Tribolium castaneum: one gene and its partners. The protein of the gene in region 1 purifies or fractionates together with the protein of each later gene. This does not show direct contact. Links are inferred from orthologs where the notes say so. Each region holds a gene or a part of one and is shown on either strand. Other genes may lie near its edges.

Evidence for each region.
Region 2: the proteins of holn1 (region 1) and SmE purify together in Homo sapiens (affinity purification with mass spectrometry; 3 studies listed by BioGRID and IntAct, counting the BioPlex papers as one, with this or other methods). This does not show direct contact. The link is inferred for Tribolium castaneum from reciprocal best matches to the Homo sapiens genes CD2BP2 and SNRPE.
Region 3: the proteins of holn1 (region 1) and SmD1 purify together in Homo sapiens (affinity purification with mass spectrometry; 3 studies listed by BioGRID and IntAct, counting the BioPlex papers as one, with this or other methods). This does not show direct contact. The link is inferred for Tribolium castaneum from reciprocal best matches to the Homo sapiens genes CD2BP2 and SNRPD1.
Region 4: the proteins of holn1 (region 1) and Prp3 purify together in Homo sapiens (affinity purification with mass spectrometry; 3 studies listed by BioGRID and IntAct, with this or other methods). This does not show direct contact. The link is inferred for Tribolium castaneum from reciprocal best matches to the Homo sapiens genes CD2BP2 and PRPF3.
Region 5: the proteins of holn1 (region 1) and Prp31 fractionate together in Homo sapiens (co-fractionation; 3 studies listed by BioGRID, with this or other methods). This does not show direct contact. The link is inferred for Tribolium castaneum from reciprocal best matches to the Homo sapiens genes CD2BP2 and PRPF31.
Region 6: the proteins of holn1 (region 1) and Usp39 purify together in Homo sapiens (affinity purification with mass spectrometry; 5 studies listed by BioGRID and IntAct, with this or other methods). This does not show direct contact. The link is inferred for Tribolium castaneum from reciprocal best matches to the Homo sapiens genes CD2BP2 and USP39.
Region 7: the proteins of holn1 (region 1) and U4/U6.U5 tri-snRNP-associated protein 1 purify together in Homo sapiens (affinity purification with mass spectrometry; 4 studies listed by BioGRID and IntAct, with this or other methods). This does not show direct contact. The link is inferred for Tribolium castaneum from reciprocal best matches to the Homo sapiens genes CD2BP2 and SART1.

Annotation. Positions count from the first base shown.
Region 1 is NC_087402.1:7,512,299-7,515,660, reverse strand, and holds holn1 (CD2 antigen cytoplasmic tail-binding protein 2 homolog), read left to right. Parts: upstream 1-1,488; 5' UTR 1,489-1,526; coding exon 1,527-2,471; 3' UTR 2,472-2,518; downstream 2,519-3,362. Other genes in the region: Etf-QO (electron transfer flavoprotein-ubiquinone oxidoreductase, mitochondrial), read right to left, coding at 2,538-3,362. UniProt on the Homo sapiens protein: Involved in pre-mRNA splicing as component of the U5 snRNP complex that is involved in spliceosome assembly.
Region 2 is NC_087394.1:32,141,517-32,144,365, reverse strand, and holds SmE (probable small nuclear ribonucleoprotein E), read right to left. Parts: upstream 1,550-2,849; 5' UTR 1,333-1,549; coding exon 1,048-1,332; 3' UTR 899-1,047; downstream 1-898. Other genes in the region: kelch-like protein 21, read right to left, coding at 63-391, 437-596, 646-779. UniProt on the Homo sapiens protein: Plays a role in pre-mRNA splicing as a core component of the spliceosomal U1, U2, U4 and U5 small nuclear ribonucleoproteins (snRNPs), the building blocks of the spliceosome.
Region 3 is NC_087394.1:7,020,060-7,023,241, forward strand, and holds SmD1 (probable small nuclear ribonucleoprotein Sm D1), read right to left. Parts: upstream 1,529-3,182; 5' UTR 1,388-1,528; coding exon 1,374-1,387; intron 1,271-1,373; coding exon 919-1,270; 3' UTR 798-918; downstream 1-797. UniProt on the Homo sapiens protein: Plays a role in pre-mRNA splicing as a core component of the spliceosomal U1, U2, U4 and U5 small nuclear ribonucleoproteins (snRNPs), the building blocks of the spliceosome.
Region 4 is NC_087397.1:1,256,943-1,261,628, reverse strand, and holds the start of Prp3 (U4/U6 small nuclear ribonucleoprotein Prp3), read right to left. Parts: upstream 2,846-4,686; coding exon 1,964-2,845; intron 1,910-1,963; coding exon 1,666-1,909; intron 1-1,665. Other genes in the region: migration and invasion enhancer 1, read left to right, coding at 3,107-3,135, 3,193-3,454. UniProt on the Homo sapiens protein: Plays a role in pre-mRNA splicing as component of the U4/U6-U5 tri-snRNP complex that is involved in spliceosome assembly, and as component of the precatalytic spliceosome (spliceosome B complex).
Region 5 is NC_087395.1:18,107,363-18,111,930, reverse strand, and holds the start of Prp31 (U4/U6 small nuclear ribonucleoprotein Prp31), read right to left. Parts: upstream 3,138-4,568; 5' UTR 3,043-3,137; coding exon 2,706-3,042; intron 2,653-2,705; coding exon 1,829-2,652; intron 1-1,828. UniProt on the Homo sapiens protein: Involved in pre-mRNA splicing as component of the spliceosome. Required for the assembly of the U4/U5/U6 tri-snRNP complex, one of the building blocks of the spliceosome.
Region 6 is NC_087394.1:36,569,460-36,574,204, forward strand, and holds Usp39 (ubiquitin carboxyl-terminal hydrolase 39), read right to left. Parts: upstream 3,212-4,745; 5' UTR 3,068-3,211; coding exon 2,992-3,067; intron 2,945-2,991; coding exon 2,906-2,944; intron 2,855-2,905; coding exon 2,594-2,854; intron 2,284-2,593; exon of another isoform or gene 2,040-2,283; intron 1,579-2,039; coding exon 449-1,578; 3' UTR 419-448; downstream 1-418. Other genes in the region: leukocyte receptor cluster member 1 homolog, read left to right, coding at 1-148; facilitated trehalose transporter Tret1, read right to left, coding at 3,239-4,608.
Region 7 is NC_087395.1:24,229,037-24,233,764, reverse strand, and holds U4/U6.U5 tri-snRNP-associated protein 1, read right to left. Parts: upstream 2,801-4,728; coding exon 2,623-2,800; intron 2,576-2,622; coding exon 1,929-2,575; intron 1,877-1,928; coding exon 509-1,876; 3' UTR 195-508; downstream 1-194. Other genes in the region: APC7 (anaphase-promoting complex subunit 7), read left to right, coding at 2,943-3,011, 3,059-4,207, 4,459-4,728. UniProt on the Homo sapiens protein: Plays a role in mRNA splicing as a component of the U4/U6-U5 tri-snRNP, one of the building blocks of the spliceosome. May also bind to DNA.

The DNA of each region.
Region 1 (3,362 bases):
TGATAACGCTAATTTAATGCCTCTATAAGAAGCATTTTGTAACCTTTTCGCTGTGTCCGGGGGCGGCAACAGATAAAAATACATTTGAACGCCAATATTACGAACGCTCGAATGTAACAAACAAAATTGAAAGTCCCGTTTTATATTATAGTAAAAAATCAGTTCGGTTTTAACGAATAATTGAACCTCGCTTACAACGAATGCTGGCTTTTAACGTCCAATATTTAGACAAAAAACTGGTCTAAACATTTTCGATATTGCAGAATGATTTCAAAAGTGAAACATACCTTAAAAACAGCTAAGGTGTTAAGTACAAACACAAATCATTAAATAAATAAAATATTTGTTATAGGTATACATATGTATAACTATGAACTCATGTAATTATATAGCTTTTAATAAAATATAATCATACTTTATTTCATAACGTATATCTATCTTAAACTTTAGAACTCATTTATCTTGAAAATTACTCCATATGTTAAAACGAACGATCGGTTACAACAAACAAATTCGGAAGTCACTTAGGTGTTCGTTGTAACTAAGTTTCACTGTATTATTAATTGACGCGCTTGTAGTATTTATGGCTCTACAATCTTGCATTAGGTGTAACTTAATAAACTTAAAATACAAAATTAATTAATTTTTTTTAATATCTGAACTTTTTTTAATCAGTCAATCAAATAGCAAATTCAGTTCTAGCACAAATTCTCTAAAAATGCAAGATAATTCTGAAAATCACATGGGAAAACCTGAAACAATTCTTAGTAATGTCACCAAACATGTACTAGGTATTAAATGTTCTCATTTATATTCTGAGATATGTTAAAAAATCAGCCTGTATTTATTTATGAAGTTTTAAAAAAAAAAGCGTAGCTATTTTGCACTTTTTTCTACAATATTAGTTGTACGTGTACGTTGTCGCTGACTTAAAAACTTTTTCTGTAGATATTTGCATTAGGTACTCAGGCTTGTTCTCTGTTTACTTATTGTGAATTTAATATAATATAATTTGAAACTATTAAAAACATCTTAAAACTCATTATTTCAACCATAAAAAATCAGAACCTTTAGTTTGCAATTTATTTAAAAAATAAAGCTTGTAACAAAAAAATTCTAAAATTCTGTCGTTCTGGGCTATAGCCCATTTTCTCCTTATGTAAATATGCGACTGCTAATAAGTAATGAGAGCATAAGAGAAATTCGTATTTGCACGTATTTGGAGGACATCTTTTTTGAAACACACAGTATAAACAAATTTTAAAGTAGCTTGTGCCATCTCTTGGATAGTTGCCAAACATACCATTTCAATTTTACAGTTTTTCTTAACTTTTTGGGTTTTTTACAATATATTTTTGAGTTGTTTATGTTTTAGTAATAAGCGTGGTGAAAAATTTGCGGTAAAAAAAGCTGATTATGATTATTTCCAAAAAAAACAAATATTAAAAAATTTAACCGTGGATACAAACCAAAAGTGCAGATCGGTTTTGAGAGCATGCGTGTTGTTTGTTTTGCATTTGTCAAAAATGTCAAAACGAAAATTCAACGAAGGCGATTTTTCGCAAAATAAGCGGCGCCAGGTGAAGTTTAACGCAAAAAAACATTCCTTGGATTCGGACGAAGAGGACGATTACGATGAGACCGCTGAAGAGCTCAACGCCGACGACATCGAGGGCGAAGAGGAGGGAATTTCGCGTCAGGTTGAAGGGGTCCGGATGACCGCCTTCAACATGAAAGAGGAGATGGAAGAAGGGCATTTCGACAAAGAGGGCCACTTTATTTGGAACAACGAGAAGGAAATACGGGATAATTGGTTGGACAACATCGACTGGCATAAAGTCAACAGTGACGATAAGTACCAGTTGGACCCCAACGAGAAAGGCTTGGGGGCCGAGAGTGATTCTGAGTCGGAAGCTGAGGATTTCGATGAGGTCGGTTTGTACAAAAAGATGCTCAACTACATGAAACCCAAAGAAACGGTCAACAAGTGTTTGAGGCGGTTAGGGGGCGATTTGAAGTTGTCCAGTGTCGAGAGACTGAAGCGCAAGAAGGCAGGGACTTTGAATTCGAATCAGGATGTGGCGGACATGACCGAGATCGCGAATAGTATATTAACGAAGACGGGGAACATGAACGTATACCAGGAGACTTTTGAAGAAATTACCAAAAAAATTGACGACCGAACGAAACCGAAAAACAGTGAGCCTGTTCTGGACATGTATGCTGACGACTTCGGCGACAAGGAGAAGGAGAAGATGGAGACGGCGTCAGTGTCAGGTAAACCAGAGCAGTTAATGTGGGAATTTAAGTGGGACCAAGACAAGGACCAAGTCGAGGGTCCGTACGACACCTCACAAATGTTAAAGTGGTCCAAAGAAGGGTACTTCAAGACGGGAGTGTGGGTGCGTAAGTGTGGCGAACAATCCAACTTTTACACCTCGAACCGGATAGACTTCGAGCTGTATGACTAACAGTGTTATAAAAATTTTATTATCAATATACATAAAAAGTCAAGCAATTTGCTTAAAGGCACTTAATTACATTCCGTTGTAAGCCGGGCCGCCACCTCCTTCGGGAACCACCCAGTTGATGTTCTGACTCGGGTCTTTAATATCGCAAGTTTTGCAATGTATACAGTTCTGGGCGTTGATTTGCAGCCTTTGACCGTCCCCACTTTCAAGCGGGACGAATTCGTACACTCCTGCTGGACAAAACCGGCCTTCAGGCCCGTCATAAATGCCCAAATTTTGCTTAACAGGAACGGTATCGTCCTTCAGGGTTAGATGCGGGGGTTGGTCACCTTCATGATTGGTCCCAGTCAGCGCAACGGAAGAGAGGAGATCGAAGCTGATTTTACCGTCAGGCTTCGGATAATCGATAGGTGTACAGTCTTTGGCCGGTTTGAGTCTCTTGTAATCGGGATCGCCATGTTTGAAAGTCCACGGTTCCATCCCCCCAATCATTATGGAAAATCCACTGTACATCACTCCTCCATACATCCCCAAAGGATTATGGAAGCTGGGTCGTACGTTCCTCACCCGTTTCAAGTCTTTCCAAATGAAACTGTTCTTAACTTTGTCTGGATAGCTCTTCGGTTCAAAACCTTCAGTTTCTTGTTTTTCGCTATTAATGGCTTCGTAGGCGCTTTCCGCAGCCAACATCCCACTTTTCATGGCATAATGCGTGCCTTTGATTTTTGGTACATTGAGGAAGCCGGCCGAACACCCAACGAGACATCCTCCAGGGAACGTCAGTTTGGGAATACTCTGGAAGCCACCTTCGTTCAAAGCACGCGCCCCATAGGCAATACGTGTACCTCCCTCGAAGTAGTGTTTGACGCTAGGGTGGTGCTTGAACCTTTG
Region 2 (2,849 bases), on another chromosome or scaffold:
ATGTATGCGTACGTGTTTTTTTTTATTCACGGCTCAGCTAAAATAAATCGCAAAATTCTTACCAAAACTATGACAAAAGTGGGCGAAATCCCATCACAGTGTCTGTGAAAAGCCGATGCAGAGTACCCATGACTGCTAGCCCTGTAAATAAGTCTCCAACTCTGCTTGGGATTACCGAACCAGGCATTGAGCACCCTTTGGTAGTGACTCTTATCCTGACCCAGAATTAGCGAACCCGGGAATAAGTGAGGTGATACCCTTGGACGCAGTCTCTGGTCCTCTGCTCCTTCAGGATATTTACTAGGAAGCGCAGCATGTCTGTACCTTTCCAAACTGAGCTCCATTGGAACGGCTCCAGTTGGTTCAACTTCTTCGGCAAAAACTTGGCTGTCTATAATATTACAAATAAATAAGAGAAAAAAAAAATTTAATTTACCAATCAGAAGTAAGCGGACGTGAGAAATGACATGTGAGAGGTGCTGGCACACTCTGGCCCTCTCTTCTTCAGTCCAATGGGCTGTGGGTTGGGTGACACCAGCTTGGTACTTTGCCCAGTTTAAAATTGCTCTCCAGACATCCTCTTCCTCCAAACAGAGCTAAATTGAAACAGTAATAAATGATTTTAAGTAAAATTTTAAAACTTACATAATCTGAGGAGATTAATTTTAAGACTGCTTCTTTGGGAAGAGAAAGAAATGAGTTTGTTTTTACACATTCTACAGCATTTTCGCCAATGTAGCTGACGCAACGTTCGACAAAACCTGTCGCAGCTTTACCCCCTACAAAAAAAATATATTGGAACACCTACAAGCTTCACAATTCTAAAAAAGCGATAATTACCTGTATTGTCCATCACATTTTAATTTTAAGGACTTTGAAGTTATAAAAATAGACATAATTACTAAAATAATTTTAATGTCCGCATTTCTTTTACAGAAAGTTGATGAATCACTTAATACTAAGACCAATTGCGGTTTTCATACAAACACATTACTCCAACGAATGAAAAAATTGTTATGAAACTTAGAATTACGCTACAATTTACAACTAATTGCCTGATTGAGGATTCACGTTCTGTATCAGCGTTATGTTATCTCCTTTAAGCATGATTCTTCCCAGCTGCCTCCTGTTCTTCGTTTTAACGTAATATTCCTCAGCATCATCCAGCACAAGATTCATGTATTCATCAAAACCCACAATGTGCCCCTCGATTCTCAGATTAATGTTCTCGTATAACCACACTTGTACACGTGAACGGTTTTGTAAGTAACGAAAAATTAAGTTGATGGGTTGTACCATCACTTTTTGAACTTTTTGTGGTTTGTACGCCATGGTTAGAGGAGTCTTGGGTTACCGGCAAAAAAAGTTCTTTAAGGAAGCTAAGTGCAAACACACTTTCACACAGCACGAATTATTCGTATTAAGAGAAAAAAACTTGTTCAAAGTTTGCAATAGTATTTATAAAACTTAAAAAATGAGGCGACGCTTACAATACGACCAAAGTAAGGTTATCTGTGTGAGTTCTGTATTCTGTTGGCAATCGTGGAACGCGGGAAGCTTGACGAGCTGAAATACACCAGAAAAAGGTCTGGTGGTTTGGTCGTTTTTAGGCTGTTTCGAAACTATAAAAACACCAACGTCCCATTTTTTTTCCAAAATTATTCACGCAGAATTATAGTCGCACAATTTATATTTTGGGTTTTCCTTAACTAATCAAGCTGAGTTATTCCATAATTATCATCAGATGGGCGTAAATGTCTCGAAAAAAATTTTTTTTATTCTCATTTAGCTTTCTTTGACGTGATAGTTTTTTATATATTTTTTTTGAACTTGGTGTCTCATAAACTCAATTTTTTTTTAATAAGGTTGATAAAAATGTAAAATAGTTATTAATAAATAAATCATTGAGACTATAAATAACATTACCTATTAGTTTTTTGAAGTGCATAAATAATTTATAACAACTAATTTTGAGAGAAAATACGAGGTTGGCGTTTTTATAGTTTTGAAATAGCTAATATGAGGAGTTGCGCCGTGTCTTACACACACACAATCGTCAATAGGTCTTTCTTTGTCATTGTTACCCTTAATGACACAATTTTGGTTTTGGCGGGATAATTTTACGTGACTTTAAAGAAAAAAACGACAAGCTATAAACTCGATATAAAGATGTGAAACGACATTTAAATCAACTCTTTACTGAATAGGAAGGGTTATTTTGCTCAAAAAGTTAGATAAATGCCTGAAATCACACTTAAGAAAAAATTGCCAAGAGTGCTTTGACTTTGCACCAAATGGATGCTGCTTTTAACAGTTGTCATCGCGTGATTGTCAGTCAGTGTTGTTATCTCTCAGAAAATCGAACGAAACTAGTGATTATTTGGACTGGGTGGTTCAAAAATGCAAAGTGGGGCACCTGTTTTTGTGGAATATTTGTGAATTTGAAAGTGCGGGCGCGCAGACTGTGACCTGGCGCGATGCGCACAACGACCTGCCCCTTGACTGTGTTTATGGAGAATACTCGGGGAAAAACCGGCTCAAAAGACACATTTTTCAATTTGGGTAAGGTAAGTGCTACACCTTTGCGGCCCAAAACCTCTTTGAACCTTAATTTTTTTATTTGCACCGGAGATTATTTTTATTTATATTATTTATATTTTCCAAACTGTGATGAAGTGTAAAGTGTTGTTTGAGTCTTAATAGCCCCAAAAACTAGAATTAGGCGAGAAAAATCTCAAAATTAATGCCAAAACGATACAAAATTGATGTTAATGAGCCCTAGCCGATCCCAAAGGACCAAAGGATCATTTATATGAAATCTGTGCATAGGGGTTGAGTGTTTTTTCCCA
Region 3 (3,182 bases), on another chromosome or scaffold:
AGTAATTTTGTAGTTATTTATCTCATTATCTATTATTAGTTTTTATGAAGAAAACTCTGCATCGAAGACTTTTGACCTGTAAATTGGTAGGTACCAAGAAATTAATGAACCCAAATTTATTCATTACCAAAAATCGAGCACATAAATACCAAAAAAGCTTTAATTTAGACATCACTGTTATGCAGGCTTGTAATGTTGGTTGCATACTCGATGGCAAGCAATTTCTATATTTATTTTGATTTTGAGAAAATATTTCTTATCTCAAATCTGAATGAGTGATAATGTTTTAGCTTTAACTTTTTGTATTGAAAGTAAGAGAATGTTCCTAAATTTGTAAAATAATTATTAATATAAAAAAAATTGAGGTTAAATAAAGTGATAGTCCATCTGTTTCTGTATTGATAGTCAGTGTTTAAGACCACCCGAAAAATGGGGCTATCTTTAGGAGAATGTTCCGTCATGAAGGAGGTAATCAGTAAAACGTTAATTTTACCAAACTCATTTAACCATTTGTAGATAACAAAAACAGAAGAAGCAATCAAAGCCTGTTACGTGAGGGTCCAACTTTTAGAAAAAAAGATCGAATCTGATGAAATCCCCAACGAGAAAAAAGCCGACATGAAGAAAGAGTTACGAGAAGTTCGCAAACTTTTAACCACAAACGAAAACCAACTTTCACAACTCCACAGACACAATCGAAAATCATTCGCATTTGTAGCCGCCTTCTGTTTTGTTTGTTTCACAGTTTACGTTTTATACATTTTAGTACAAGGTCCCGATTTTTAATAACAAAGACATTTTAAACCTAAATATGTTTTATTGATGAATTTAGCAGAATTATAAAAGTTTTACAAATACTGGAACTAAACGAAAAGATTCACACTTACAATTACGAAACTTAATTTAATGAACGTATTCTTATCTACGCCCTCTCCCTCTGCCCCTGCCTCGGGGGCCCCCTCTGCCACGGCCCCTCCCGCGGCCTCTGGCAGCCCCCCGGGCGCTCTCCTTCTTCTTGGCCTTGGCTTTGGGGGTGTCGTCAATCAGCAGAGTCTCGAGGGGTAAACTATCGGGCAAAATGTAGTAACGAATGTTGTTTCCTCTAACTGTTAGGGTGTCTAAGTTCACAGGATTTCGGTTCTTTACAGTCACTTTTACAGCTTTTAAGTGCGTATTCATGGCCACATCTACACCGGTTATAGTGCCATGGACTTGTGTGCCGTTTTTCAGCTCCATTGTGACCGTTTCATGGCTCAGTTTCATTAAAAACCTGAAAATGGCCGAAATGTTAGGTTAGGTGGTTTTTCAGGAGTTTTACTTGGAATTCAAGGAAATAAAAACGTGTCTGATCAATCAGTAGTTTACGTTCTCACCTTACTAATTTCATGTTGATATTTTTGGTGTAATTAAGACAATTTTTATATTATGCCGGCAAAACACGCTTGGCTTACGTTTTTTTACCCCCCCTCTTCCATAGAGGGAAAGAGAATGAGCATATAAGAAAGAGATGGCAAGAAAACTTGCGAAGGGAGCGCCACTTACGTGGCGCCAATTTTAAATCGTTATTTTTTTTATAGGTTTGCAGATAATTATGGACTCTGAAAATAAAAACAATTCTTTATTATTTACTATTATCACAGCTATTATCAAAATAACCTTGCTATTGGCACGTAGTAACAATGAAATATTTTGCTTTATACAGTCGAACTTCGATCACCCGAATAGGCCGTTGCCACTTCAAATCATCTTTGTAGAATACAGTGGAATAATACTTTTGTTGAGTTCAAGTGATTCCTGTTATTATAATATGAGCAATTTTTTTAACTAATCCAACAAAGTGTTTACCTTAAAAATCTCAACTCTCTCTAGTGCATCTAGTGTTCTTGTTCTTAATTTTTATTAGTTGCGTGTTTTTAGTTAATTAATTAATTAAACAAAAATTCGTGTTATAAAAATTTTTCGAATTCAAAATTTGAAATTGAACAAAATAATTGGTGGAGTCGGTTTATCCCCGTTCGGGTGACAGGGGTTCCACTGTATGAATACATTTTGCGGAGAAAAATTTAAGATTAGGTCGATTATATAAATTATATGTTAATAAGAAGTTAGAAAATACTTATCTGAAAAGTTAAAAAAAGTAATTTTTGACTTGTTTTCGCCTAAATTATAACTATAACATGAGAAAGATACGTTTTTAGTTTGACAGTTTTTGAGTGAGGCTTCAAAATTGCTGAAATTATGTGGACACGATTATAATGGGCAAAATTAGATTATAGGATAAGAGGGTTAACCTACAGAAATTTGGGCATAATTATTCACTGTACATAATAACCCCACTCTCCCCTACCTAAAGTATTTGAAAAACACTTGTTACTGATTAATTTATGTTATTTATTACAATATTAGAATAGATAACACAAAACTAGTAATAATCATTTTCGCAAGATCTCGGGTCCGGTCGCAACTCTGACCTCTGTCGAAAGAACTGAAAAATTCCGGTTAGTTTTAAGTTATCAAATGACTACGTTGCAAGTACAAGTTTATTAGTACAATTTTATTAAAATGTTACTTAAATAAAACCATTTTTACCCAAAAAATTTACAAAAAGTCATTTTTGGATACAAATTTTCTAGTTTTACTTTTTTGAATTATGTTAAAAGACTAGGTGGTTATTTACCAGTGAACGATCGATTATGAAATTTAAATAAAAAAAAGGATAAAATTGGATTATGAAATTAATAATAAATTAGTGTGACTCAATAATTATTAATTTTTTGTGGCAACAAGCAGTGAAAACAGTGAAAACACTTGGCTAAACTAATTAGTTACAAACTAGATTAAAAAAAGTAAGTTGTAATATTTACAAGTTTATTTTTTAATTCGTAGGTATATTAAAACTGTCCGTTCCTGCTCTGATGAGGTCATTGTAGAAGAAATAAATTTTTTTTTAAATTATTCTTCGAAACAAGAAATATTTTTAAAAAAGGTATACTTGTACAGACTGTTCAAAAATGGTTGTTCAAGTCGACTAAGGAATTTAAATTCATTGAATCACTTCGTTTAAATAACTTATAATCTCTGCATTTTGCATTTTTCGGTAAGAGACCGGAAGAAGAGATAATAAAATATTTAAACATTACCAAAAAAACTCATATTTTTTTTAATCTCAAACCCTCTTTAAC
Region 4 (4,686 bases), on another chromosome or scaffold:
CTCGACCAAAAATTGCTAAAATAATAAGCTCAAAAAATGGACAAAAACGAGGTTCGAATGTTTTAGCAAGTTTGTGAGCTAGAAAAGCAATGATGTCGACAAATTTATTCAAAAATGAGCTCAAAAATCATCAAATGTAAGGTTTTTGGCAAAAATTCACTACCTGGGACCCAAAAATCACTTAAATAAGGTCAGGAAATTAAGGAAAAACACATTTATTGAGAGTGATTATTCCGTTGAATTTCTGCAAAAATAAGCTGGAAAATCGTTAACTTAGGATGTTGTTTTGTTTTCGAGGGCTTAAACGTGTTTTTAAGATAAGAAATTAAGTTTTCTTTAGCGAAAATTCGCTAACTGTGACTCAAAAATAATTTAAATAAGGTCAAATATGACATTATTTTCTTCTTTTTTGAGCGTTTTAGCGCAAGATTTTGAGCCAGAAACAATTATTTCGAAGAATATCTTTACAAACAAGCCTAGAAATCGCTAAATTATGTCGAAAAAAGTATTTCATTTGCTTTTTTCGACAGTTCAAAGACGTTCTTGAACTAAAAACTTTTTTTTTGGAGAAAATTTACTAACAAAAGTCACTAAATATGGTTGAAAATGGCATTATTTCTTCAACTTTCGGGCGTTTTGACACGTTTTTCAATTAGAAATAATTATTTCAAAGAATTTCACTAAAATAATCCGAAAAGTTGTCAATTTAGTGAGGAAAAAAAATCACTAAATAAACCAAAAATTACATCACTCTCGATCATTTCGATTGTTTTAACACATTTTTTAGACAGATATCCAATTATTTTGGTAAATTTCGGTCAGAAATAAAATGAAAATCGTCAAATTATGCTGATGTATGGTCAAGAAGACTTAAATTTTCGCGAAATTTCGCTAAACATTGCCAAATAAAGACTAAGTTAGGGCAAGTATTACATTATTTTTGCTTCATCCGAAGGTATAACAAGTTTTCGATGAATTTCTTCAAAAATAAGACGAAAAATCACCAAACTAGATAAAAAAACAGCGTTATATTTCACTTTTTTCAAAGACTTAAACAGATTGTTGGAATAAAATAGTTTTTTTCTGCAAATGAAGCCAAAAATGACATTTGTTTTAGCAAGTTTTTCAGTCAGGAACACAATTATTTAGGGGGATTTCAATTAAATCAGACAAAAGATTCAATAATTAGCTCATTAATAGTTTTTTTTTGCTTTTTTCGAGGCCTTTGCGTGTTTTAAACGAAGTTGTTCCGACGAAAATTCAGTAAACAGGATCCAAAAACACTGAATAAGTTCAAAAGTGAAATTTTCTTTTACTCTTTCAAGCGCTGTAGTCCGTTTTTTATCCAGAAACATACTTATTTCAAGGGATTTTATTAAACTGAGCCGAAAAATCGCCAAAGTAGGTCAATAAAAGCGACAGAATAATCAATAAAATAAGTAAAAAATTCTAATGTTTTGCAATCAGTTTATTTGTTTCACAGAATTCCACCCACAATAAGCCGAAATTTCGCAAAACTGAACCAAAATTATCATTATCATTACGTTTATTACACCAGAAAAATTCTTATATAAGAAACCGAGAATAAATCACATTTTTTTATATAACTCAACGTATTTCCCGACGGGAGACTGAAAATAAAAAAATAAAAATAGTTGTTCTTACTTGGACACCTCAGCTGGGTTGGATGCTCAACCAACGTGGTAATTACAGATTCCTTTATTGCGATTTTCCCATTGAGCATCAAATCTAAATTATCGATCAAAATAACGGAATCCCACCACTCCATCTGCGGTATGTCCTCAATCACCCCCTCAGACTTTGCAATAAGCGCAAGCTTAGTAGCCGACGAAATGCCGGTCTTTTTCGCAATTTGTGAAATTTCATTTTGCAGTTTTTCCAACTGGGCCTGAAAAAAAATTCATTATGACCCAACACACTTCCACAAAAAACCCAGACATACTTTCATACGAAGCCGCTCGGCCTGTTGTAAAAATTTGCCGGGTTCGTGGAACCTAAGCTGTCTTTTGTTCCGAATCGGCGGCTTTATCCCAATTCTCCCATCGTAAAATTTCATTTCGTTACTGTCGTCCGTTTTATCGCTCAACTGCGTCCTGAACTGTTCGCGCTTTTGGGCCCTGATGTTGGCCTTAAGTGTTGGGACAACGTGGGTCAGTTGCACCGCTTTTCCCGTCTTGTCGATGGTCCTCCCTTCGTCGTCCAGGATCAGGGGGGTGGGCCTGTTGGGCACCACTGGTATTTGTATGGCGTTGGTCAAAATCCCGCTGGAGAGCTTGCTCTTGATCTGGGCTTGCAGTTGCGCGATTTTGCGGGCCTTGTCGGCGTCGCCCCTGTTGAGGAGCCCCATGGGGATGCCGTAAATGCTGGGCTGGGGTATGTTCATGTTGATGTTGTTCTTGCCCAAGGCGAGCCCATCAATTAGGGCCCGCTTCCGCTCCTCGATTTGTTTCTGGGCGCTTTCCATGATCTCGCTCGATTTGGATTTGTTGCGGTCGGAGTCATGTCTACTGTCTCTATCGTCGTAGCGCGATTTCGAGCGCTTTGAGTCTCGTTCTCGGGAATCGTCACGCGATCGTTTTTTCGACCGATGCGAGGCATGATAGTCTTCGACTAAATCAAATATCTTTTCGGCTAGTCTTGTCGCCTTTTTGCTATCAACATAAGACGAAAGTTTGTCAGTAGTTTTGCGCCTATCGTACCCTGAATTTAAACAATGGACTGCGGTACTGACCAGGGAGCTATCACTGCTGCCGAGCAGTTTGTAAACGGCTTTGTCTATAGAGGGTTTCAAGTCCTCCACTTCTCGCCGGGAGAGGTACGACATTTTTGGCTTTTTTAACAATTATCAAGATACGATTTCCAACGTTTACACACACGATTTTAGGTTAGAAGTCAAAAATTGGACAACACCAACGGAACAAACTGGAAATACCCTATATCCCAATGACAATCCCCATGTCAAAATGACAATTAGGGGTTATGGGCATGTGACAAGTGTAAATAAATAAAAAAATCAGGAAGGGCCATAAAGCCATAGCCATAGAATAAGGGAGAGGCCATAATCCCTCGATTGGATTAACTTACAATGGGGGTTGAAGTCGATGTTGAGTTTTGGTAAAAAAAATGGAGATGGTTTAGTTTTATTTATATCATTTCAGAGATTATTTGTAGTGGGACTTGTGGATATTTTAAAAAGTTCGAAGAGTTAGCGCAGCATATTAAAGCCAAACACCCCGATATTGAACTGAATGGGCATGAAGGCAGGAGAGCCACATTTGAAGTTAAAGTCAATGGGACTTTGGTTCATTCTAAATTAACTACCCTTGCTTATCCTGACTATGACGACCTTTCTGCGATCATTGATGAAGTGGCTCAAGGAAAAGAACCACGAAGTTGTAAACAACAGCCCATCACCAGTTGCATAATAGCTTGATAAAAATTAATGTATTATTTATTTTTGTGAGTTTGTTGTGAAAATAAAAATATATGTGTAAAAAGGTTTCTTGTTACTTGCAATCAAAAGTCAGATAAACTGATCGCGTGACTAAATTTGACCAATCAGATGCTTAAATTCACCGCGGATTAACTTTTAACAAGGGATTAAGTTTTAATTTCTTTTTTGGCGGGCGTTAAAATTTGGAATGGCCTGTGTACAATATAATTTTATGCGTTATATTTTGGTTCCTTGATCCAAACATGAGAATAGATTTGTTTGGTCAAGCAGGAAGTGGAAAACAACTTTACAGCTGTAATAAAATTTTACGATAAACAGTGAAATAAGTGCAGTGTGAATGTAAATAAGTATGGAACCAAACTTACCTATTTTATATTTAGGAACAATACAAACAGTAAGTGTAAAATCTATTTTTATGCTGGGCTGTTGCAGTAGGAAGATCAGTCTGTATTGCAATAAAAGTCCTTGAAAATATCTTGGTCAGAGTTTTATGTCAGTTTTATTGTTTCTTACAAATAATGACATTTTCAGTGTGACTATACAAAAGTGTAACGAACTTGAATTCACCCAAACAATGGTAAAACAAATTTCTACGTAATATTGCTTGTTTCGTAAGTCGTGGAACAACTAAAAACAATTCAATTTTTGGAGAAAAAGAAAGGAAAATTGAATGGTTTTTAAACCTCACTCGCAGCGTTGTTTGTTGTAGGATTTGTAGTATTTTCGCAACAATTCGGTGAATAAATAAAACTGACAATATTTGTAAGTGTTGTATTGTGAGGTTGCAGTAGGAGCTGTACTGGGTACAGTCTCTTTACACATGAGATTACAAATTGAAAAAATGGAAATAAACCAAACAACCGGAACAAGGAAAGACACACACAACTACTGACAAAAGAGTTGTAAAAATACACTTACACAGCTGGAAATGAGACTTAGTAAAAAATACTACAGTCCCAAATTTTAATTTTTTAATTACTTGTTACAATTAAAACTCGCATTCTGACACCGATACAGAAATTGCAGGCATTCGTTTAAAAGAACAGTTTTCTTAAAATCCCACTCACTCAGACGCTCCTATAAAATACATCACATTTGGATGTAAATTACATATTCTCAATGGACATAATATTTATAAGTATGTTATACAATTTAAATTTATCTTCACTATACAAAATTGATCCTAATAAACGAGATCGCCTCCGATCAAG
Region 5 (4,568 bases), on another chromosome or scaffold:
ATGTCCGTCACCATTTTGTACGCGAAGTTTTGAGAGACAAGCAAGTATCTCTCGAGCATATCTCTACAGAACAGCAAGTGGCTGATTTCCTAACTAAAGGACTCGCTAAACAAAAACATATTTGGAGTGTAAATGCAGCGGGACTACAAGTTATCAATAGTTAGGATAGTTGCCAGAAGTTTTAGTGGAAGGATGAATTTTTTTTTTTTGGAAGTATTCATTCTAACGACACACGACTCGAGGGGAAGTGTTGGACATCTAAGTTTCACGAGTCGCGTTTCGTTTCCGTGTGAACCACAGTTTTGTTTATAAGAGTGTGCCGTGTATATTTTTATCAATTCCGTCATTTTGTATTTCGATTTACTTTCATATTAAATATACTTTTATTAGAAGTCTCAAGTATCTTATCCCGAAGTTCCAACATTAAGTCAGAAACACACTTAGGTCGAGTTGTATAAAAAATTTCAGGATTAAACCCATAGCCATTGTTATGAGAATAATTGTTAGGGATTTAAATCAGGACTAAAGATGATACAACTCGACCTTAGAAATGTAATCACATTTTTTTTAAGCCAAAGATACAAAATTCAAAATATAACATTATATTTTGAATTTTGTATATATAACATTATATTTTGAATTTTGTATAATCTATTTTCAACTATCAACATCATTTAAACAAGGATAAGATTATAAAGCAATAATAGATAAAGGAGAATTACCAAAGTTTCAATAAGTTTATTTCTCAATTTGAAATCTGAATGTGATAATTAGAACGTAAGAGTTTCAAGGAGATGAACCATTTTTTGATAATGAATAATGTGTTTTCCACTGTCAATGTAAGTCCTAGAGATTTTCTTTTTGCAAGAACGTTTAATTTATTACTAATAATATAAATATTAATATATTATTCTTCAAAATATTTACAACTTTTAGATGCAAAGTATAAGACTGAATATTTATTTTCATTGAGTTTTAAGTTAACATTACTGCAATGTTTGGCTATTCTTTTTAGATCATTGTTTATTTGATTCCATTCAGTATCATGGTAATCGATTTTGTTTGAAAAATAAATAAATAAAAATTAGTATAAAACGCGAAGAGGAGGAATGCAGTACAGAATTACAGACGAAACCGCTTTTTTTTCAAATTGAAAGCCGTTTGGTTTTTAAAAACCCGTGAAAATTTAACTCAATTCAATGTTACTACTGCATTTTTGTCTCTATTTTTTTTAAACTTATTTTGACATAAGTTATAATACGGAAGCTTTAATACATTATATTTAACAATAATCACTAGACTAGTAAAAAAACGATTGATGGACTTATCTCATTATTGCACTGAATAAATGTCCACAAATTTTCGGTGTTATAACAACTGTTACTGTTTAATGACATTAAAATAAATCAATCGATTACAAAACCAGTTATTGCATTTGAAAGAGAAAATTTTATAGCATACGTTTCTATATTTTTCTCAAAAAGACTAAAACTGGAGTTATTTCGTTAAAACATCGAACACCCCAATTAAAAAAAGGATTGGGCCCAAAACTGAGCACTGGGGTACACCTGAAGTTATGTGTTTCGCTTATTCGTTACAACTTATTGATACCGGTCTTGTAAGTATCAAGAGAATAATAAAACTGCATTTTCATCAAACCCATAGAAAACTTTTTGCAAAGAAGATTGTGATCTCTAGTATGTTATCAAAATCTAATGAAACTATAATGCTGCTTCAACAGTAGATTGGCTAACAATATTGTGTAATTTTCAATGTAAGAAATATTTTCAATACTAGAAAAATTTAATACAAGAAAAACCAAACTTACATCAGCGAAGTTCATTCTATTGGCATGTTTCCTGAACTCAGTCATCGCATATCTCTCTTTCATTTTGCGGACTCTTTTCCCGCCCCTTTTCTTCTTGGACTGGTCGATAGGTTTCGGCAGCGGCTTGATAAACTTAACTGGGGGTGGTTCCAACAACTTGTCCAGTTTTCGTTCAATTTCGTCGCGTAATTGCCGCCCAATACGTCCGTCTTTACTCTCATGACACGAGTCCACACGTGCTGCTAGCGTGCATTTAGTGGCAACAAGTCTGGCAGCCTTCCTTCTCAAATCAGGCGGAGTATTTTGCACGATATCTGCGTAATAAACGAAACCAGTGTGCGGCAACATATTCACTTGTGAAAATCCAGACAATGCCTTCTTCTGTTGGCCCAACAATTGCACGTTACAGGCCGGAATTTTGGACAATCGGGTCAAACCCCCGGCAACCCCCATGAGCTTGGCGGCGATCGAAGCCCCAAGAATCGCCGACAAGTTGGGGGCGATGAAAGCCATCCGACTCTCAACGTATTCGTAAATTTTCAGTTTGAAGTTGTTCAAGTCTATGGCCATGTCGCAAGCTTCGTCGATTTGTTTCTTTTCGACGTCCGTTAGGAGAATCCCCTGTGTCGTGGATGCCGTGACTGAGACAACCATGATAGTTGCCTGCGTTAGGAATTGTTGCAAAATTTCATTATTTTTGGCTTGGTCTAAGTCATTCCCGAGCTCTTTGACGGTCTTCAAGTACTCCAAAGGACCAACAACAAGGGAGTCCAACTCGGGGAACCGCTTCTGGTACTTGTCGCGCACAAATTTATGGACAGTGGCTTCAATAAAACAGATTAGTTTCAACTGATTTGGTTAAAATCGTAACTCTTACCAATTTCCGCGTCTATATCTGCAGCAATGTTGTTAGCTTCGACGATCAGTTGATACTCAGGGTCCAACTCAACTGGTCCTATGATGTCGTGGTATTTTCGGCTCTTCTTCACATGGTCTTCGATTTGTTTCAATATTTCATGTAAATGGGGCGAGTCCCGTAATTTACACAACTCTCGGACTGAAGTTATTTGAGTTGTGTCTACCTCTAACTGGATGTCTTTAACGTCGGGTTTTTCTTCTTTGATGTCCGGTTTTTCATCAACTTCCATCGCTTCTTCCAAATCATCTTGATCGTTTTCTTCCAAATCAGCCAATAATTCGTCGGCCAAAGACATTTTAGCGAGTTAAAAACGTAACTCCAAAACGTTCACACAACACTTGGAAGTGAGGTTAGAAAAATGCAGTTTACAAATTGACAAGTGTCCATAGATTACTTGTAATGTGGGGCTGAATTACTGGTTGTCTATAATAATCTGCTTATTAATTTGGGGATAATGAAAAAAAACAATATAATTATTAATTAGTGAAGGGACGGAATATAGTCCGTGAAAGAGTACTTTTCCGGACACATATATCACTAAAAAAACAGTTGTTATTGTAGTTTCAAGCCATGTTATTTAAATAAAAAAAACTTTTTTTTTATTTTAGTCAACTTTTTGGTAAAAACTATAACTATAAGAACATAAGAGCAAACTTGCTTCGCCAAAAGCTCTTTTAAATACCATTTTAAATTAGAATATTAAGATAGTTGTTTTTAAAAATAAACAAAAATAAATGGAAAAAAGCATACAAATAAAAATAAAAAGGAGTCAGAGGACGCCAAAGCACCAACTAATTTTAATAAAACCGGATTGAATAAAACTGTATGCCGAAGAAAAGAAATAAAACTTTTTGACTACAAACGAACACCTTATATTCATCTTAACGAAGTTGTGGTAGATGACAGAAATATTTAAAAAATTTACTTTCTTATTAAATTTTGGATCAAGTTGTGTCTTCTTTTTAAAAACGATGCATTTGTATTTGTGAATAACTTCAATTTTTTAAGAAGATTTAGACAGCAAAAAATTGTAAAGACTTACACGTAAAGCTTAAAAATGGTTTCCGATTTATTTAACGGAATTAACGCTTTAAGATTCATTTTTTAGAAAATAATTGCAAAAACCCACAAAATATATTAGAAAATCTTTTAATAAATAATTTAATTCCTATTCATTACCCGTTTTCTATTCAACAGGGAAGCGATCATTTTTAAAATTAAAAATTATTTGGCATCTACGATAGTTCAATGCTTCAAATCGAAGCAATTTATCTGTTATCTTATTATAATAAACTACCAACCGACTTTTTAAAATTCTGATCTAGTTATCCATGACAGATACGTCATCAATGAAACATTTTGCATAAATAACTTTAGCATCGCTTTATTTGTCAATATGTCTAAAATGTTCACCGAAGAACCAAAAAAAATATGTTGGAATCTTATTTCCGTAATGGAGATCGGGTTAACGTAACTGTCACGGATAACTAGACCAATATTTTAGAAAATCACACAGTATTAATTTGTTTGAATATAAAGTTACAGTATAGTTACACAATTTGTAAATTTGGGTTAAAAAAGTACAGTTTTTTAAAAAACTCTTCAGGTTTTGGGATATACGAAAATGTTTATTATGTCATTTTAATACATACATTTTATGTCAAACTTAAAATTCTTCTAATAAATAAATATTTGTTCCTTTATTTATTGAACCTAGTCAGTAATCAGTTAATCACAATCACCACAAATCTCTATTACTTCTTAATTTGAATAAGTATAGAAATGTAAAATAGTTATTAACGATTCGATCTCTCATTGAAA
Region 6 (4,745 bases), on another chromosome or scaffold:
TGAGAGGGAAGAGAGAAAGAGAACTGAAGGGCTTTTGGCCAAATTACGCGGGGAAAAGACGGAGGAAGAAAAAGAGAAGCCTCAAACTGGGGGCAAAAAGTACAATAATCAGTTCAATCCAGAACTGGCAAGGCAGAATTATAAATAAAGATCTTAAAATCCAATTGCATTTCCTTATTTATTCACGAAATATTTTTTTAATCGAATAGTTTACCGAACTTATTTGAACAATGTCTCACAAAAAATTAATAATAAAGCATTCATCTTTTAAATATAACTAATCTGTATGTTCAAGAACTAAAGATTTGACTGATTTCTCAAAAGCTTTTTGACCAAATCAGGCCAAAAACAAACCGCTCTCTGGACTAAACGTTTCATTACAGAAAAAAATCAGGGAGGGACAAATAAAAGACAAAAATTCCGGTGATAGAATTTTATTCGTAAAAAATTACTTTTCTAATCTTAGCTCATAAATTTGTATATAAGCCTCCGTCAGCGTAATCATCTGCGGCAAAATATCCGTCACATGCAAGTCCTGCATCTCGTACCACTTGCCCGTTGATTTTTGCAAAATATGAACCCTGTAAGTGCCTTTCCCCGGCTCTCCATCATGCACAATATTCGCCACTAGATCATAGACCGTATGTTTATGTTTGGCCTTAACTTCGGGCGTCAAAAACTCGCCAAAATCAACATTCCTAACCGGAAAATTCACAATGGTTGGATTCTTCTCCACGTAGAACGTGTTCTTCGTAAACCTCTTAATATACAAGATTAAATAAGGCGGCAAACGCGTAATCTCAAACTTCTTGAGGAAATTCTCCTTGTAAGTCTTGTACTCCTTCTCGGTCTGTCCGTTGAACTTGGTGAGGAGCTGGTACAAGTTCACCTGGGGGATGATATTCTCCCGGAACTCGTCGATGAAGAGAGGCGGTGGAGGCAAGTCGCAGGTGAGGTACAAGAAGGGTGACTCGGTGATGATCTCCTGGTACTCTGGAGTTGACAAAAGCATGCGTTTCTGTCTGTCGTCAAGCTCGGTCGGTGGTATTTTCCTGGTGTAAATTTTCATGTTTCCGAGGAATGACTGGTAAATGATGGAACTGTTTTTCTTTTTATTGCCGTTAAGTGCCCGATGAAGTGCGTTCAAAAACCACGAAAGGAAATCAATGGGGTCGCCTTGTGCCGTAATTTGGAAGCGCTTTTTGCTCCACAAAACCACAGCTTGGAGCATTTCGTGCGGCGAAACGTGGGCTTTGAAATTTCGGGGGTTCCATAATTTACGCATCAGTTCACCGTAACGTTGCACCAGGAGGTAAGAGGAGTCACCTGGGGGGCGTTTTATCTTGCTGTAGTTCTCCTCACGGAGGAAGTAATTACGTAAAGGGACAACACGTGAAAGGGCTTGTAAAACAACATTACAGTAATCGTTCGCTTTTATGTTGTTTAAACCGACGATTCCTGGCATGTAAAGTAGGCCATCAATTGCTCGGGACATTTTTGTGCTAACGTCCAATGTACTGATGTGTTGTTCGGTAAATGTGGGGTTGAGCAGGTATTTAATGTCGTCGAGGGACGAATCTGTGAGTAATTTAATTTTGTTAGAAAAAAATCGTTGGAGCTTGAAATTAAGTGGCAACACTGATTACTGAAACCGAATACTTCCCCGAACATTTCCTAGTATTTGCTTTTTTCAATTCAGAAATTGACAACACGATTATCGAAAATAGACAAAAAACACAAAAATTAACCGAAAAACCACCAAACGGATTCAATAATTACATAATGTTTGTCTTTTCCGAAGATCCCAACTTGTTATTTCAGGCAGAAATGCCAAACAAGCCGCAAAATTACCAAATCAGGCCACAAATTATCTCATTTTTCCTTTTTTTTTAAGCCATTATGCATGTTTTTGAGCTAAACAGGCATTTATTTTACAAAATTCGTGAATTATGACATTGTAAAAACGTATAAATCCTAATCTTTGTAAAAAGTCTCCCAATTGAAGACTTCGCGCGAATTTCAAATCACGCGCGCTCAAGTGTCATTTTCAAATCAGCCAATGAGGTGCCGTTGGCGTGACATCAGCGTTAGAGTGAAGCTTGTCTGCCGAAGTGCGCGTCCTTTTGCTTTTGCGTGTTGAAAAACCGGTGTTTTGTGCGTGTTAAGTGGCAAAAACGACTCAAATCGACTTTTTATCGGAAATGTGACGTGTGTAGACTATCAAAGTGTGTTAGCAGCAAGCTGGAAGCCGGTTTTGAAAAAATTCAGTTAGACGACGCTAAGGTTAGTCATTTTTGTATTTTTTCCACGATTACTCGGTTTAATTCGAGTTAGTTTCGGTTGAAAACGCATACAAAACGATATTCAATAAAATGCCAATCGGAAAAATGCGACAAAACGAAGATTTCACTTTATTTTTGAAGGGGGGCGTTACTGGCATTGCGCCCTCTCAAACATTCGCGTTATTGAAACGATTTAATCTAATTCGGTGTAAAACTTCAGCTCGAATCAAGTGAGTTGGGTAAAATTGTTGAAATTTGAAGAAAAATGTTGCCAACTTAATTTCAAAACTACAATTGAGAGTATTTATTACCTATTATTTCATAATTGTCGGGCAAGCAGTAAAACTTCAAGGTGTGCAAGTTGAGGAAAACGTGGTGGCCTTCGGCCACCGAATGCGTATAAGCATGTGTGTTTGTGCCTCTACCTTGGAAATATTTTCCGCAAACAAGACAGGCATAAACGTTGATGCGAGTCAACGACACTGAGCACAATTTTTCGAAATCAAAGTCGAGATATTGCCGGTTGATTGTGTCCAAATAGGGGCACAGTCGATGCGTTTGGGGCTTCCCACCTGGAATAGACAATAATAGAACAGGGCGCTTTAATCGATTGATTTTTGTACCTTTCCGGTCCGAATTGTCAGAAGGGGGCTCAATTTCGGCTAAAATTGAACGTTTCAGTTGCGTTTTCGAGGTTATGTGTACTTACGTTGTGAGGAGTTTGATTTGGCTTGGGGCTCCTCGAACTTGGGCTTTTTCATGGCAGGTTCATCGTCCGCTTCCATCGTATTCACGCTTTTTTAATTAATTTTTGATTAAATCACGCTAGGACTGTTTTTGTGTGGTGTTTGCAACTTTAAGGTTATATTTACTGTCAACGGTGTCAATAATAATGTCAATCTGGTTATGCAATAAAATTCGAAATTGTAAAAAAATAAGTACTTTATTCAATAAAATTACGCTTTGAGACTAACTTTCTCTTCTTCGGCGCCTCGTTCATCACAAACTTCGACTTCCCCTCTCAGTTTTTTCTGGATGTCTTCGAGGGTTTTTCCTTTCGTTTCAGGCACAAAGAAATAAATAAAAACTAGTCCAAGTAGCGAACAAATCCCGAAACCGTAAAACGAGACATGTAGTCCGTATTCTACTTTAGTTATTTGTAAGTACTTGGAGGCCACTGTGGCCATCACACTGAAGTAAACATCGGCCAAACAAAGCGCAAAAGCTTTCACATTTGTGGGAAACAACTCCCCTAACATACAAATCGGGATTGACTGCATCCCTAAACTGAAAATTATCACAAAAGCTAGAAGCCCCACAACGGCCACGATCGAAAATGAGCTCGTATCAATGTCCGTTTCGTTCAAAAGATAAAAATAGGTCCCTTCGACAAAAAGGGCTAACGCCGACCCCGCCATTGAGATGATCAACAGTGGTCTTCGACCGGCCTTATCCACAATACTCGAGGAGAACATTGTGAGGAGCAACTGGATGGAGTAGTAAATCATCACAGCGTAATGTGCGGAAATGTGGTCCCCAGCAGTTTGGAAAATCTCATGGGTGTAGAAGGCAATAGCCGTGGTCCCCGCCAATTGCTGGAAGCCCCGGAGCCCCCCGATGATGAAAACGGCCTTCCGGTTGCTCTTCACCCGGAACAAGTCGACGAATTTCCCATTGTGCGACTTTTCCTCAGCCTGGATTGCGTTCCGGATTCGGTTCAAATCCCCGGAGACATTTTCGCGTTTTTTGAGGCGTTCTAGTGATTTCCGGGCCTCGTCCGCCCTCCCACGCATTAACAAATAGTACGGACTTTCCGGCATCCACAAGAATGTAATAAATAGGATTGCCGGCACAATTGAGGACACAAGTGCCGTGGTTTTAATACTAAGGTACGACCCTATCACATTTATGATGAGAAAACCGGCGATCCAGGTCACGGAGCAGCTGGAGCCGAGCATCCCTCGCACCTGGGGGTCGGCGATCTCGCCGATGTACATGGGGACGACGGTGAAGGTGACGCCGTCGGCGATGCCGGCGATTAAACGCGCGATGTAGAGGAGGACGATGCTGGGGGCGAAAGCCACCATTATCCAGGAGAGGAAGAAGGGGACGGCGGTGGCAAGGATGGTGCGTTTGCGGCCCAGGATGTCGACGATGGTGGCGGCGGTGAGCGAGCCGATGACCGCCCCCACCAGGGGCATGACGGCCAGGTTGGAGCCCTGGTTTTCGTCAATGCACAAGGTGCAAGTCTCGTTGTTTTTGAGCTGGGGGAGGCTGGGGGACGACCAGCCGTAGATCATGCCGTCGGTGACGATGGCCAAAGTGCCTGCGAGGAAGCGAAAGTGAGTTTCTCGATTTTGTAAGGATTGGATTCAGGTCGTTAAGTTTTTAGGGGTTTCTGGTTCAGGTAGAAGCGAAGGTTCAACCAGATGTTCTTTTGTTGACGAATGGAATGATGACCGG
Region 7 (4,728 bases), on another chromosome or scaffold:
GATTACCGTGCAATCCCTATCCTAATCATGACTGATAATGGTGCTCACGGAAGTGACGTGAAAGGTCACGTCGAGAGCTGGTCATCAACCATTTATTTTTTTAATTAACTATAACTTTCTGTTCAATATTTTCCTTTATTACCGTTTTGTTGGAAAATATGGGAAATTGGTAATTTCTAATTAAAACACGGAACTCACTTTTAATTCATTTCATTTATCGCAAAAATTATTACACCGTTTGTACTCGTAGGGAGCCAGACTTTAAAACTTATTCATAAAACCATTATCATTATCGTACCCGTCCCTTAAAAACGATCTACAAAACAAAAACATTTCGTAACACTTTTCGTTAGGACTTTGTAAATAAAAACTGATAAAAATGAAACAATTTATACAATTTACAATGATGCCCAGTTTTCCTTAATTTAAAATTGCCACTTCTTTTTAGAGTAGCGCTGAATTTTGTTCACACAAAATTATAGTATTTATTTATTCTTAGTCATTTTACTTAACGCCGACTTTTGGAAATAACCGCCGTTTGCTGGCTCTGCTTGTTCCCCGACAAGACCACATACGGCGACTGCGTCTCCTTCTGCTTCGCTTGCAGCATATTCAAAGTCCCTAAGGGCGTATCCGTCGAACTCATCTTCTTCATCAACTGCTCCTGCACGCCCTTCTTTATCCTCTTCTCGATCTTATTTTTCCCCGGCCCTTTCCCGTGGAACTTATGCGAGAGATACCTGAAGGCCTCCTTCGAGTTCAACACGTGCCCATCATCGTCGATATACTCCAACTTAACATTGGGCTTAAACCCATCCTTCTCCTTAAACTCCATAATGGGGCCAGTGTACCTCTCCCGGCGGTTCGCGCGATCGCCCTCATCCCCGTAGGTCTTGTCCTCGATAGAGTAATGCTTGGCTTGCAAATGCGCTAACCGCGAATTCGACGGCCTCTTATTCTGCTCCTTGTCCAGGTACCCCTTGCTCATTGCAAGCTTCAAAGCTGCCCCAAGCCCTGTACTGACATCAGGCTCTTCGTCGAGGATTTGCACCTCTTGTGGGGCAATTTGCGGGCTTTCGTGCGGCTCGTTTGGATCGACTGAATTCCAGCCGGTTTTCTCCTCCTGCTCGACTTCGTCCATTTCGGGCTCGTCTTTCAGATCACGCTCGAAATCGATCAAATCTTCGGTTTCCTCGCGGTTGCCGGACTTGCCGTACGTTGGGATGTCGCCCAAAGTGCGGCAAAACTCCGCCGTGGCGTTCAGAACAATACTCCCCTCCAGGTTTTCCTCACTTTCGCTTTTAACCGGCGTTGATTTAACAATCTCAGCAACGAGGTTCTCCTTCTGTTTGATTTTGCGTGTCTTGTGCAGCGCTTTTTCCAAGAGATCGTCCTTCTCGTCCTCGAGTTTGACGTCCGTGGGGTATTCCATTTCGGGGATGTCGTCAATGGTCAAGTCTTCGAGCTCTTTCTTTGGGCGTCTTGAGCCGACTTCCTCGATGCCTTTGTTGTTAATTTGTTGCTCCAATTCATCAGCGGTCAGTTTTCCCTTAGTTCGGATTTTGCGGACTTTCTTTTTGGGTTTTTTAAATTTGGACAGTTCCTCGTCGTTGTAATATTCCGATGCGAGTTTTAAATCTTTTGTTTCAATCGATTCGATTCTTTTTTTGGCGAGTTTTTCCTTAATTGATTGCACGATTGCTTGTTTACGTTCAACCGCATTGTCGTAACCGATTTTGAAGCTTTCGCGTTTTTCGCCGTCGATTGTTTCGTCGTATTGGGCCAAAAGCGACTTTTCTTTGGGGTTGCCAAACTCGTCGTACTCCTGGTCTTCGTAGGCGTTATACAAAATCTTCTTCTTCTTGTTTATAACGTTCTGAAATTTGATGATAAATAATCATTCACTGTAAATATTTGTAACAAATTACCTTTTTGTATCTCTCGTCCTCAACCATGTTGACATTGACCAGGACATCCTCCTTGTCTTCATCCAAGACGCCCTTGTCTTGCAGCGTCAAGATAACATCCCTTTCCTCAGCAAAGCTATCAACATCATGCTCCACCCTCAGCCCTTTCAAATTCCTCTCAGTGTATCTCTGCTTCCTCTTCTCCTTCTTCTCATTCTCCACAAACTCGCTGACCCCAAACTGCTCATCCAACTCCTCCAACATTTTCGCCCTTTTCTCAGCCTCCTTCTTGGCCAATTCAATCTTGCGGTTCTTATCAACCCACGACTCCACATTATCATCACTATCACTGTCCCCCAGCAGCTTCACCTTGCCCAGCTTATTCTCCAGCTGGCGCTTTTCCCGAATCGTTGTCAATTTGCCCTTCAGCTTCTCCCTCTCGTGCTTATCCGCCCAATTCTCCGCCGGCTTGTGGTAAAACTCGCCCCAATCGTCCTTCTTCTTCCCGTCATCCCGTTTCTTCTCGGACTTGTCCCCCGAACTCACATCGAGCGGCTTCAGGCCGAGCTTCGCCCGCAGTTTGTTCGTTTCCTCAATCGAGAGACTCTCAGCGTTTTGCCCGGAGCCCGAAGGCTCATCGTCCGGAATCACCTCGATCACGTCGGATCCTGGCAAAAAATCATTCAAACGGGAAAGTTGGACGCGGGGTGCTTACCGTCGCTGTCGTAGTCGTGCTTCGCCCTCGCGTCGCGCTTCTTGTCCCTGTGGTGCCTCTTGTGGCGGTGGCGCTTCTCCTTCGGGGGCTCATGCTCGTCGGTGTAGCCGGGGCTGTGGTGGCGCCGCTTACGAGACTCTTTCTCTTTTTCTTTGTATTTTTTGCTACTAGAACCCATCCTTTTTACAAAATTTGAAGGAAATACCTACCGTACACAACGTCAATGCAACGTTTTGACGTGCGCGAAATCCGGATTGGTGGTTTCGCCGTTACGGGATTTGCCGAGTTCAAAAACCTAACCCCACATTTGCCAAGCCAAGATGACCAACTTATTGAAGCAATTGCAGGCGATGTACGAGCTTGCCCTGCACTCGAACATCTCCCGAGTGGTTTGTAGCCCCCTTTTGGGAGTCTGAGCCCCCAACTGTGCTTTTAGTGCGACTTGGCCCTGTCGGCGTCCGAGCAAAAGCCCGACTTTTTGCCCCCTTTGCAGAAGTTCCAGGTGATGTTGCTGTACGCCGATTCGCTGTACGAGACGCAACAGTTCGCCCAAAGCGAGAGTTTGTACCGCCAGGCCTTACAGCTCCGCAAACACCTCTTAAAAACCAAGTCAATGTCTAATAAAATCACGGAGAGTCAGCCCGAACTGGCCAGCGATGTGGAGATCAGGTTCAAGATACACAAGTGCTGCATGGCCCTGAAGCAGGTGAATGGGGCCATCGAGATGCTGCAGTCGATTCAGGCCCGCCTGCGGACCCCCAAAGTCAACATGGCGCTCGGCAACTTGTACAGGGAGGCCGGGATGGAGCGCTCGGCCATAACGTGCTACAAGGAGGTGCTCCGGGAGTGCCCGCTGGCCCTCGAAGCCGTGGAGAACTTGCTCAAGCTGGGGGTGAAAGGGGTCGAAGTCAACGCACTAATGGTGGAGGCAACTTCCGAACTAAACTGGCTAAACCTCTGGCTCAAAGCACAAGCCCAGTTGTACTCGCGCGACTTCGAAAACGCCGCCCAAACGTACAAAAGCATGGACAGCCACGGTCTACTCAAAGACAACACGTCGCTGCTGGTCAACCTGGGCTACTGCTACCACTACATGTGTGAGGACGAGACGGCGATTGCAGTCCTCCAGCGGGCGATTAAACTCGACCAGAACCTAGTCTTTGGTCGCGATTTACTGGCCACGCTTTTGGCGAGCTCGGGGACTTCCGAACACGTTGAGTATTTGGAGGATTTGATCCCGACCTCGGATATGTCGCTGTGGACGAGTGAGCATTGGGTGGTCATTGGCAATCTGATGTTTTCGACGAGACGGCACGAAAAAGCCGTTTATTTCGCACAGCAGGCGCTTTGTGCCTCGCCCAAAAACATAGAGGCGTTGCTGCTGAAAGCCAAGACGCTGGTGGAGCTCAGCAAGTACCAGGATGCCGCCCAGCATTGCACGGAAGCGATCCAGATCTGTCCGTTTCGATACGACTTGCACCAGTGTTTGGTCGAGTGCTATGTGAAGATGAATCGGCTGAGGGAGGCCGACTCCATGGCGCAAAATGCGTGCAAACAGCTCAATTTCAGCCCACATTCGGTTACGGTAAGTGAAAAAATTGTAATACGGTAAAGAGAGAATTGGCTGTTAGACTGTTTTTTTGGGACGAATTATTTTAAAAACGTATCACTTTTTTTTCGTTTGCCTTCATCTGGCAAACTAATGCGCTATCTGAGAGGAATATCGGGATGGGACGTTGTCTTTGCTTTAGGTGTCGAAACGGATTAGGCGCCATTAAGTTGTTTTCTTATTTATTCCTCAAATAACAACAATTACAAAAAATAGTTTCACTGCAGTTGCACGCCTCCGTTTTACTCAAAGACCCGATGACGTCCGGGAAAACGGTGCGAAACCTCCTCGAGAAGGCCGTGAGCCAAGACAAGACGTTTTCCACTAAGGCCGTCTGTATGCTCGTGGAGTTGCTCGAGCAGGAGCAGCAGTACGACCAAGCTCGGCAGCTCCTGCTGAAGCACGTGGAACAGCACCCCACCTCGCGCATCCACCAGATGCTGGGCGACTGCTACGTCAATTTGAACAAGGACAGCGAGGCTTTCCACCACTACAAC